Canis lupus familiaris: one gene and its partner. The protein of the gene in region 1 interacts with the protein of each later gene in a pairwise test. Links are inferred from orthologs where the notes say so. Each region holds a gene or a part of one and is shown on either strand. Other genes may lie near its edges.

Region 1 (4,244 bases):
TATAGAGGCCAGGGTGCACCTATAAGCACCCAACTGGCAGCCCTAGAGGCCAGGCTCCTGCTGCTAATTGTCTCGGTCCCCTTCACTGGCCTGCTAACTGTCCCTTGATTTAATTCAGGCACCTCAGAGCCTTTGCACTGGCTGTTTTCTGTTTACAGGCTGTCTTTCCCAGAACTTCCCTTTTCTGAACAGCACTCCTTTCTTTTTCTCTTGCACTTGTCATCCCTCATTTTTTTTCCCACAGCAGCTAACTGCCCCGTGACATGCACATCACTTGCTTGCCACCTATCTCCCTGACTAGAACATCAGTCCAGGAGGACAGGGATCCTGGCCTATCTAGTCTACAGTTGTTGCCCTGGCACATGGCGTAGGCTTAGCACAGGTCTGTATGGCAAGCCCGAGTGCCACCCTCACTAGGAACCGGCTACTGTGTCCCCACTCACCATGAGGTTGGCATTGGCGATGTGGTGCTTGACCACACCCCCGCCCAGGATGATCATCCCAGTGCGCTTGGCAAAGATGGCCTGTGTGTTGATGAGTCGCAGGTCTGGGAGAAGAGCATTGTGGTCAGGCAGTGGACACAGCCACCCTACCTCCCCTGCTCCTCTGTGGCCCTAGCACCTCACCCTCAACAATGTCCAGGACCAGGCCTGGGTTCTTGTAGGAATGGAAGAAGATCATGTCGCCCAAGGAGCCATCTGTGAGCGCTGGGCTCAACACGGGGATGTGGTTCTAGGGAACAGCAAGATGAGAGCAACAAGCTCAGAGCCCAGCAGAGGCAGACTGGCCCCCATCCCAGTGGCATCCCCTCCTCTCTGCCTGATTCTAGGCAGGATGCTTACTAAGTTCTCTAGGCCTTAGCTTCTTCAACTGTAAAATGGAGACTGCAACAGCATCTCCATCACAGATGAAGCATATGTGATGAAACCAGACAAAACCAGTGGAGAATGGTAGCTCTCATTACTCCCACTGCTGGACCGCAGCGTCAGACAAACTAACATCTGTGTTGGCTTCCTCACCTAAGAGTGGAGATGATGAAATGGTTCTCCAGGTGGCTATGAAGGTGAAACAAGCTAACATGTGCCAAGGCCTGGTACCCTTGCCCTACCTAGTCCCTCACCTTCTGGGCCCAGTAATACACTGATTCTGGGTTGTTGATCTCCTTGCCCAGTCGGGCAATCATCTTGGAAGGTGTCCACTTCACACCCTAGGAGGAGACATTGACTTCAGCCAGCAGGGCCGCCTCAGTTCCACACCGACCCCCAGGGTGCTCCTGCCCCACCTCTGTGTTCTGCTCCAGCACCATTTGGTCCAGAATGGGCATCAACCAGTCCTCAAACTTGCAGTAATTGTCATTGGGCACCAGTAGGTTTCCAATCCTGCGGAACATGAGGCATGTGGGCATCGGGCCCCAGGATCCTCAGCCCAGCTCCCTTGCCCAGCATCACTCAGGGCCCCGAACCTGTTGATCCCGTTCTCACGTAGCTCCTTCCCCCTGAGACTGAAATCGCCCAGGTACGTGGGTGCCAGGCACTTGATAAAATCTTCCTCCACACCGCCAGCTGTGGTCACTAAGACGTCCACCTGCAGCCACAAATCAGGTTGGCCCAGGAAGAGGGGCCCTGCCGTCATGCCAGGTAGGGCTCCTCATTCCCAACACTAATCCAGTGACCCTTGGGAAAATCTCTACTGCAAAATAAAAGTAGATCCTGTTCCTCCGCTTAAAACAATCCTGTCTCCCTGTCATTTAAGTGGCCAATAATTTTTATTGCCCATAAGACCTAGAGAGGCCAAGTCCACAACCCCGCCAGGTACCCACCATGTTGTGCTGCACGAGGTAACGGATGGTCTCACGGATGCCTGAACTGATGAGATTGGATGTGTAGCCCAGAAAAATGGTGCAGCCAGTAAGTGGGCGGCGGCTCTGGGTCAGGTCTGCATGCTGGTCTTCATCCTGCGACAGCGGCTCTAGTTTCTTCTCTATCTAGGTGTAAGGGCAGAGTCAAGTTACCCTCTGGCCCCAAACTCTAGCCCGAGGGCTCCAAGTGGGTTTCAGGATCAGACTCCAGCCCCGGGGCCTGCCCACTCAGGAATAAGGAAACACTTCTACTTGGAATACCTGAAGCCAAGGAACGAACGCCCCCTGCGCAGGCTCGGCCCCATTCACCGCCCAAATCTCAAGGCACGCGCTCAGGTTTTATTCCCCTTTCAAGGAACTGGAGAGCACTACCTCTGCAGGCCTGGTCACTTTCCCCTTTGGAAAAAGCAAATCTGAGCCCAGACCCCGCCCTGACTGAGGCTCCTCCTCAACCGCACCGTTCAGAACACTTCACTCCTTACCTACAACCCGCCTCCTATCTAGCATCAGTCCCAACCTCATCCTGATGGTAGGATGCTATGGAGATGGGGAGGCACAAGGTCCTCTCCCCAGCACGGAAACCGCTGCCCAGAATGGACCCTGCCTCTCTCCACCTATTGGGCCGCCCGACAAAGGGCACGCCTCCTTCTCAAGGGAGCCCCGCCCCCCAGTACCGCATTGCCGCTACTGGAGGCCACACCCCCTCAACCCAGGAAGTTCCGCCCCAGGCTTCACCATGGCGTTGACTTGCTGCACTGCGCGCCCGAAGTTGGTGGCCTGGAAGCCAGTGGTGCCGAAGGCCTCCAGTAGCGCACGGTAGTCCACGCCGCGGCTGAAGTCGTAGCCTCGGACTTGGGAGCTCTCGGAGGGCAGCGCCGAGCTATGCTTCAGCACAGCGGCCAGCGCCGCCGCGGGTGCCTTCCCTTCCGGAAGACCCTCCATGCTCCCGCGGCCGCACTCTCAGATCACAGCCGCCCAGACCAGGCCTCCAGCGGCCTCGAAACGCACTAAGCCCCGGCACGCGCTTCTATATGACAGTGCAGGAAGTAGGGCTCTGGAAAACCTGCAGAAGGGGACGGGAAGTTGCTCAGTCACGTGACTCTTTGAGCCCCACAATCCAGGGCGCGGCCATGTTTGCGCATGCGTTTCCGTAATATGGAAGCCGCGAGGAGCCGTTATTGCCTGTTTCGCGTCTTGTCAGCCCGAGATGAATGAAGAGTCCTGCTTTCACTGCCGCCTGCTGGAGACCCACCGCGTTGCGCGGCGCTTTCCCATTCGTTTCTGTCCCTTTGGGAAGGAGGATGGCTTCTTAGACGTCGCCCTAGGACAGGATTCGAGTCATCAGGAAATGTCAGATAATTTCTGGCCCTGAGCGTCTCTCATCAAATGGTGTAGTGATCGCTGTCCGTACCAGAGCCTCCACATGCTGCGTAACCCTCTGGTCTTCCCCTGGTAGTTGCGGCCGTCACTTCTGGGAAGCCTTCCCTGACCGTCCTCTGGGTAAGGGACCTCCTCTGGGATCCAGGGCTGACCTCTCTTTCCCTCCAGCAAGACTGTGAGACCCTCGAAGGTGAGGTCTGTATCTCATGGGTCCTCCTAGCCCTGCATAGGGTTTGGTCCAGGGGGAATCTTTTAACCAGGCACTTTATAATTTATGGAGTCTATACCATACGTTGGGCTCTGTGTTTGGCGACTCAGATTTATCAGTGAACAAGATGCAGACCCTGCCCTCCTGGAGTCCATAGTTTGATTGGGGAGCTAGTAAAGCTAACCACAATAGTGATTAGTGCTATTGAGGATTCAAACATGATGTGTTTTTGAGGTAGGGGTGGTTGAAGGGGTTGATGGCCTTATTTGCAGGGACAGGTGGTTAGGGAAGGACACCAAGGAGGTGACATTTGAGCCAAGGCCAGAAAGCCAAGAAAGGCCCCATATGTGCAGATTTGGGGAGGCCTTTCCCCCACCATCCCCCAATGGGAAAGAGAACTGCCAGTGCAAAAGTCCTGAGGTCAGAGATTAGCCCACTTAACTGGAGGAAGAGAACATCCTCCCTGACATTTTTGACAGTCCCCACTTGGATCTCAAACTCACCACCTCAGCTCCCACTCCACTTAACGCTGATCTCCCTGCAGTCTTCCACATCTCATCAAAAAGCCCTCAACTCAGCAAATAAGCCCTCCATGCACCTAGTAGACCCAACACTGGAGAACTGAGCTTGACCTCTCTCCTTTGTTCTCACCCATCCCTCAGCACCTCCGCCAAGTTCTGCCCACAAAATAGGTCCCAATTCCAGGTGCCTTTTTATTATTATTGAGATAAAATTAACATATTCTATTAGTTTTAGATGTACAACATTCTGATTGGGTATTTGTATCCAGATGCTTCT
Region 2 (4,148 bases), on another chromosome or scaffold:
TACCTTGTTCCCCTCACCCTAGTCTGGACCCTGCTGTATCCCCAAATAAAACCCAAACCAAATTTTTCCTTTTTGTTAGATCTCGAACTCCAAACAATGACTGGTTAATTTGATCATAGTAGTAATCATATGAATTACTGATACTATCTTTTTGAAATGCCCAAAAGCAAAAGCATTCTGTATTAAGTACATATTAATATATATATAATAAATATTGAACATTCAAAGCATTCACATGTTAAGGATGAAAACAGAAATCCATTTTTTGGTAAAAGAAAAGTCTATACCTAGCCTTAGCTACACTATCCTTACTTCACTGAATAATCCCACATGCATTTAACAAATGTTTATTGAGCACCCACTATAAGCCATGTCTAAATTAGGTGTTCCAAGTACAAGGGAATGGTTAGATGGAATTTTTATGAAGGCAAAGGGGGGGGAGCAGAAAAGAATTACTTTTTGGTACATATCTACCGATAAGGTAATTATGGGATACATTTTCTCCTTAATCCTCCCATTATCCTTCCTTTGTAGATGGAAGATTGAGGCTCAGAGAGATTGTATAATTTGTCCAAGGTCATCCAGCTAGAAAGTGGCAGGAGCAGATCTAAACCCAAATTGTTTGATTAAAAAAACTCAATATGCTATTATTATAATAAGACAATGCAAATTTCTAGAAAGACTCCAAAGCAACCTAGAAAACATTTACAAGTGGGAAAGTGAAAATATACAACTGCTTAGTAGAATAAACTATGTAAAAATAGGGACGGCTGGGTGGCTCAGCAGTTGAGCATCTGCCTTCAGCTCAGGGCATGATCCCAGGTCCAGGGATTGAGTCCCTTATCAGGCTCCACGCAGGGAGCCTGTGTCTCTGCCTCTCTGTGTGTGTCTCTCATGAATAAATAAAATCTTAAAAAAAAAACTACATAAAAATATTTTTACATGTGTACAAAATAAAAGGAAATCATATGTTAACTGCAGTTGATGGTAACATGTATATAATAGAATAAAAGGTACAGCAAGAAATCAGTTTAAAATGAATGAAGAAAATCTAAGTGTCACACTTGCATTTCTGACTCCATAAAATGAACAAAAAAGAGTTTTATATACGGTATGCTTGACGATGAGATTGAAGACTTACAATAAAGACTTTAGTTATAATTAATCTGAGGTCCCACATCCTATGAGGTCAATGGTTTGGTTACCACCAATACTCCGAAACAACAAAATGCTATCATTAAACATGACTTATCCAAATGTATAATTGGAACTACAAGTTGGAAGTCTAAACCTATAATTTAACAAAAGGTCACAGCATGGTCACTGAATGTAAATAAAACAATTAGATAGTTTTGTATTTTCTTTACCATATGCCATGGTGGTATACTTTATCCCTTACATTAAAGACTTTCAACTCACTTCCCTATTTAAGAATATCAAATTCTGACTCACATTCAATAATATACAAACTTGATTGGGGGAACATGAATTCCAATGATTTCTTAAAAGTCTTAGGCTTGACAAGTGAAAAGAAATAAAATATCCAGGGGGGAGTTATCTGAATTGGAAATATTTTACAACGAAAGCTTAGTAGTTTCACTGAACACTGAACTTAGTCACAATAAGCAGTCCCTTGGTCTGAGAAATAATAAGACATGTTCAACTTTTTAAGAATGCAAAAATGTCAAAATAAAAAGCAAATCAGCTATAATTCTAGATAAGATACAAGTGTTAAATACCACTATTTTCAATTTCTAAGATAGGTGGTGGTGCTTAGTACCTGGTTAGAAAAACCTACAAAACTACTACCAGGTTTTGTTGAATTCCTGTTGATAGTAGAATGCATTTACAACTTTAAGAAACAAAAAACACCATTTTAAAGGAAGCTAGTACTCACTTGATAATCGTTTCTCTTAATATTTGGAACATCCATGTTGTGAGTAGACGGGCAAATATCTTCATATTTTTTGCCCGTGAAAATATCAATTCCGACAAGGTGAACCTAACAGAGGAGGGAGAACAGGAAACCTGTTTAATCTTTGCCAAGTATATCACTCATTACACACACAAGAGCACAATACCAAAGCTGATTATGACAGATTCTTTCTCCTTCCAAGGTCATCTAATTTTATTTTCTTAAAAAAAAAAAAAAAAAAAAAAAAAAAAAAAGCAGGGGTCAGAGAATTGAGAAGCAGCGAACAACGAAACAGCTTCACGACCTATCAAGACCCAATTCCTAGTCTAGGAATTCAGTTATAAGACTGTGTAAGAGAAATGAAGTTATGTTAGAACAGGTTTTCTCATCCATAAACAGAACATGTATTCTAAATCACTGGGATTCAGGAAAAAGTTTCCATTACCGGTTAACGAAACATTATTAAGGGCCCAAACAAGGAAATGCTACCTTTCAGTATTCAAAAAGCCATGGCTGGTCACTCAGAAATCGTGGTCAAGAAAAAAAAAAAAAAAAAAAAAAAGTCATTATTGCCGAGTTATAAATATGGAAATCTCACGTTCCCTACTGGAATACAAAATGATCAAAACAGCAAGGCAAAGGGAGACCGGGGAAGGGCACTGACTTACCTTGGCGTGACCGTGCTTTCCGGTCTTGGAAGTTGACATTTCCACTATTTTGCATGGTCGTCCTTTGAGAACCACGAAGCCGTTTTTGCGCAGGGCCGAGCACTGCATAGGGTAAGTGCTGGAAGCCCCGGCATCTCCAGTGGTGAAGTCGATCTCGTCCGCCATGGTGGGCTGGGGCGACCGTAGCTTCCTCGGGGGCGGGGGGCGGGGGGGGGGAGGGAAACTATGCAAAAAAAAAAAAAAAAAAAAGTTTGTGTTCGCTTTTTTTTTTTAACAACGGGCACGCAAGGCAGGGAGACATCACATTTCGGACAGGCTGCGGGCCAGACATCGCGGGTCCAGTCCCCACCCCGCCCCCGCCCCCATTCGCGGAGCACCCACCCGGGAATAGTGGGCACTTTCTAACTCGGGCCTCTATAAACTTTTGCACCCGGAGGAGGGAAGTGGCAGGAGGGCTCGGCGGGGGCGGGGGCGGGGGCGGGGGTGGGGGCGGCGGTGGGGCTAGACGCCCCGGGGGCAGCCCGCCCGGCCCCGCCGTCCCAGCGCAGGGGCAGCCGGCGACGGGGGGCCCAGCCCAGGCCGCGCGTCCCCGCGCACGATGGGGATAACGGGACCTGGGCGGCCGCACCTGGCCCCCGGCCGGCTCGCGCTCCGCCCTCCGTCCTGCCGGCATCCCCGGCCCGCCCGGCCCGGCCCGGCCCGCGTGGGCCTGCGCCCCGGCTGCCCCATCCATCCTTCCTCCTTCCCTCGCTCAGCCTGCTCCGGCCCGGCCTCGCTCGGGGGTCCCGGCCCCTCCGGCTTCGCCCACGTCCTCACCTTCCAGCCGGGGACAGCGAGCCTGTCGCCTGCGCACCGGCGCGGGCCCCTACAGCTGCGGCGGCGGCGGCCCCGGCGGTTCCAGGAGACGGGGCGGGGCCGCCACACTTTCCACACCCCGGCCTCCCCGCCCCCGCCCCCGCCCGCCCCCGCCGCAGCCCCACTTCCGGGATAGGTCCCGGCGCGTCACAGGCCCCGCCCCCCGCGCCACCATTGGCCACGCGGGTCCCGAGGCCCCGCCCCGTCACGTGAAGCGCGCCCTGGCAACCCCACGTGCTGCGGATTAGTGCACTTCCGGCGTGAAGTGAGCACTTTCTCAGGGCCTGCGAACTTCTGGGTTCGGGGCGCCCGGGGTCCCCGTCGGAGTCAACGGTGAGCCCGAGCGCGCGCGTGGCGGCCCCGGCCCTTCAGGGGCCTGGCGGTTGTCACGTGACGGCCTCAGGTCGCGCGACGCACGCGACTTCAACGGGGCTGCCCTGCGTAGTGGTGGCGGGAACGTGGAGCTGCAACCGCAGGCGCAGGTGGGCGCTGCCTCGAGGCCGAGCCCGAGGGCGGGGCTGGGTGACCGGTGATGAGGTTCTGGCAGGAATCGCCCCCCCACCCCCGGGCGCCCGGACGGGTCCGCAGCACCCTCGGGGGTGGGCCCTGCGAGACCAACCCGCAGCACGAGGTGCCCCAGCCTGTCCTTCCGCCTGGGGCCGTCGTGCAGCTGGTTGGGTGTCAGCCCTGCGGCTCGGTGTGCATCGCGG

What was found.
Region 2: the proteins of DHPS (region 1) and EIF5A2 interact in binary tests that used the Homo sapiens proteins (3 or more experiments, as listed by UniProt). The two-hybrid records come from large-scale screens. The link is inferred for Canis lupus familiaris from reciprocal best matches to the Homo sapiens genes DHPS and EIF5A2.

What each region holds. Positions count from the first base shown.
Region 1 is NC_049241.1:49,833,048-49,837,291, reverse strand, and holds the start of DHPS (deoxyhypusine synthase), read right to left. Parts: upstream 2,801-4,244; coding exon 2,594-2,800; exon of another isoform or gene 2,552-2,593; intron 2,494-2,551; exon of another isoform or gene 2,381-2,493; coding exon of another isoform or gene 2,341-2,380; intron 2,255-2,340; exon of another isoform or gene 2,120-2,254; intron 1,985-2,119; coding exon 1,820-1,984; intron 1,585-1,819; coding exon 1,463-1,584; intron 1,380-1,462; coding exon 1,283-1,379; intron 1,208-1,282; coding exon 1,121-1,207; intron 733-1,120; coding exon 627-732; intron 548-626; coding exon 444-547; coding exon of another isoform or gene 426-443; intron 1-425. UniProt on the Homo sapiens protein: Catalyzes the NAD-dependent oxidative cleavage of spermidine and the subsequent transfer of the butylamine moiety of spermidine to the epsilon-amino group of a critical lysine residue of the eIF-5A precursor protein to form the intermediate deoxyhypusine residue.
Region 2 is NC_049255.1:35,577,921-35,582,068, forward strand, and holds the start of EIF5A2 (eukaryotic translation initiation factor 5A-2), read right to left. Parts: upstream 2,801-4,148; 5' UTR 2,749-2,800; coding exon 2,584-2,748; intron 2,003-2,583; coding exon 1,898-2,002; intron 1-1,897. UniProt on the Homo sapiens protein: Translation factor that promotes translation elongation and termination, particularly upon ribosome stalling at specific amino acid sequence contexts.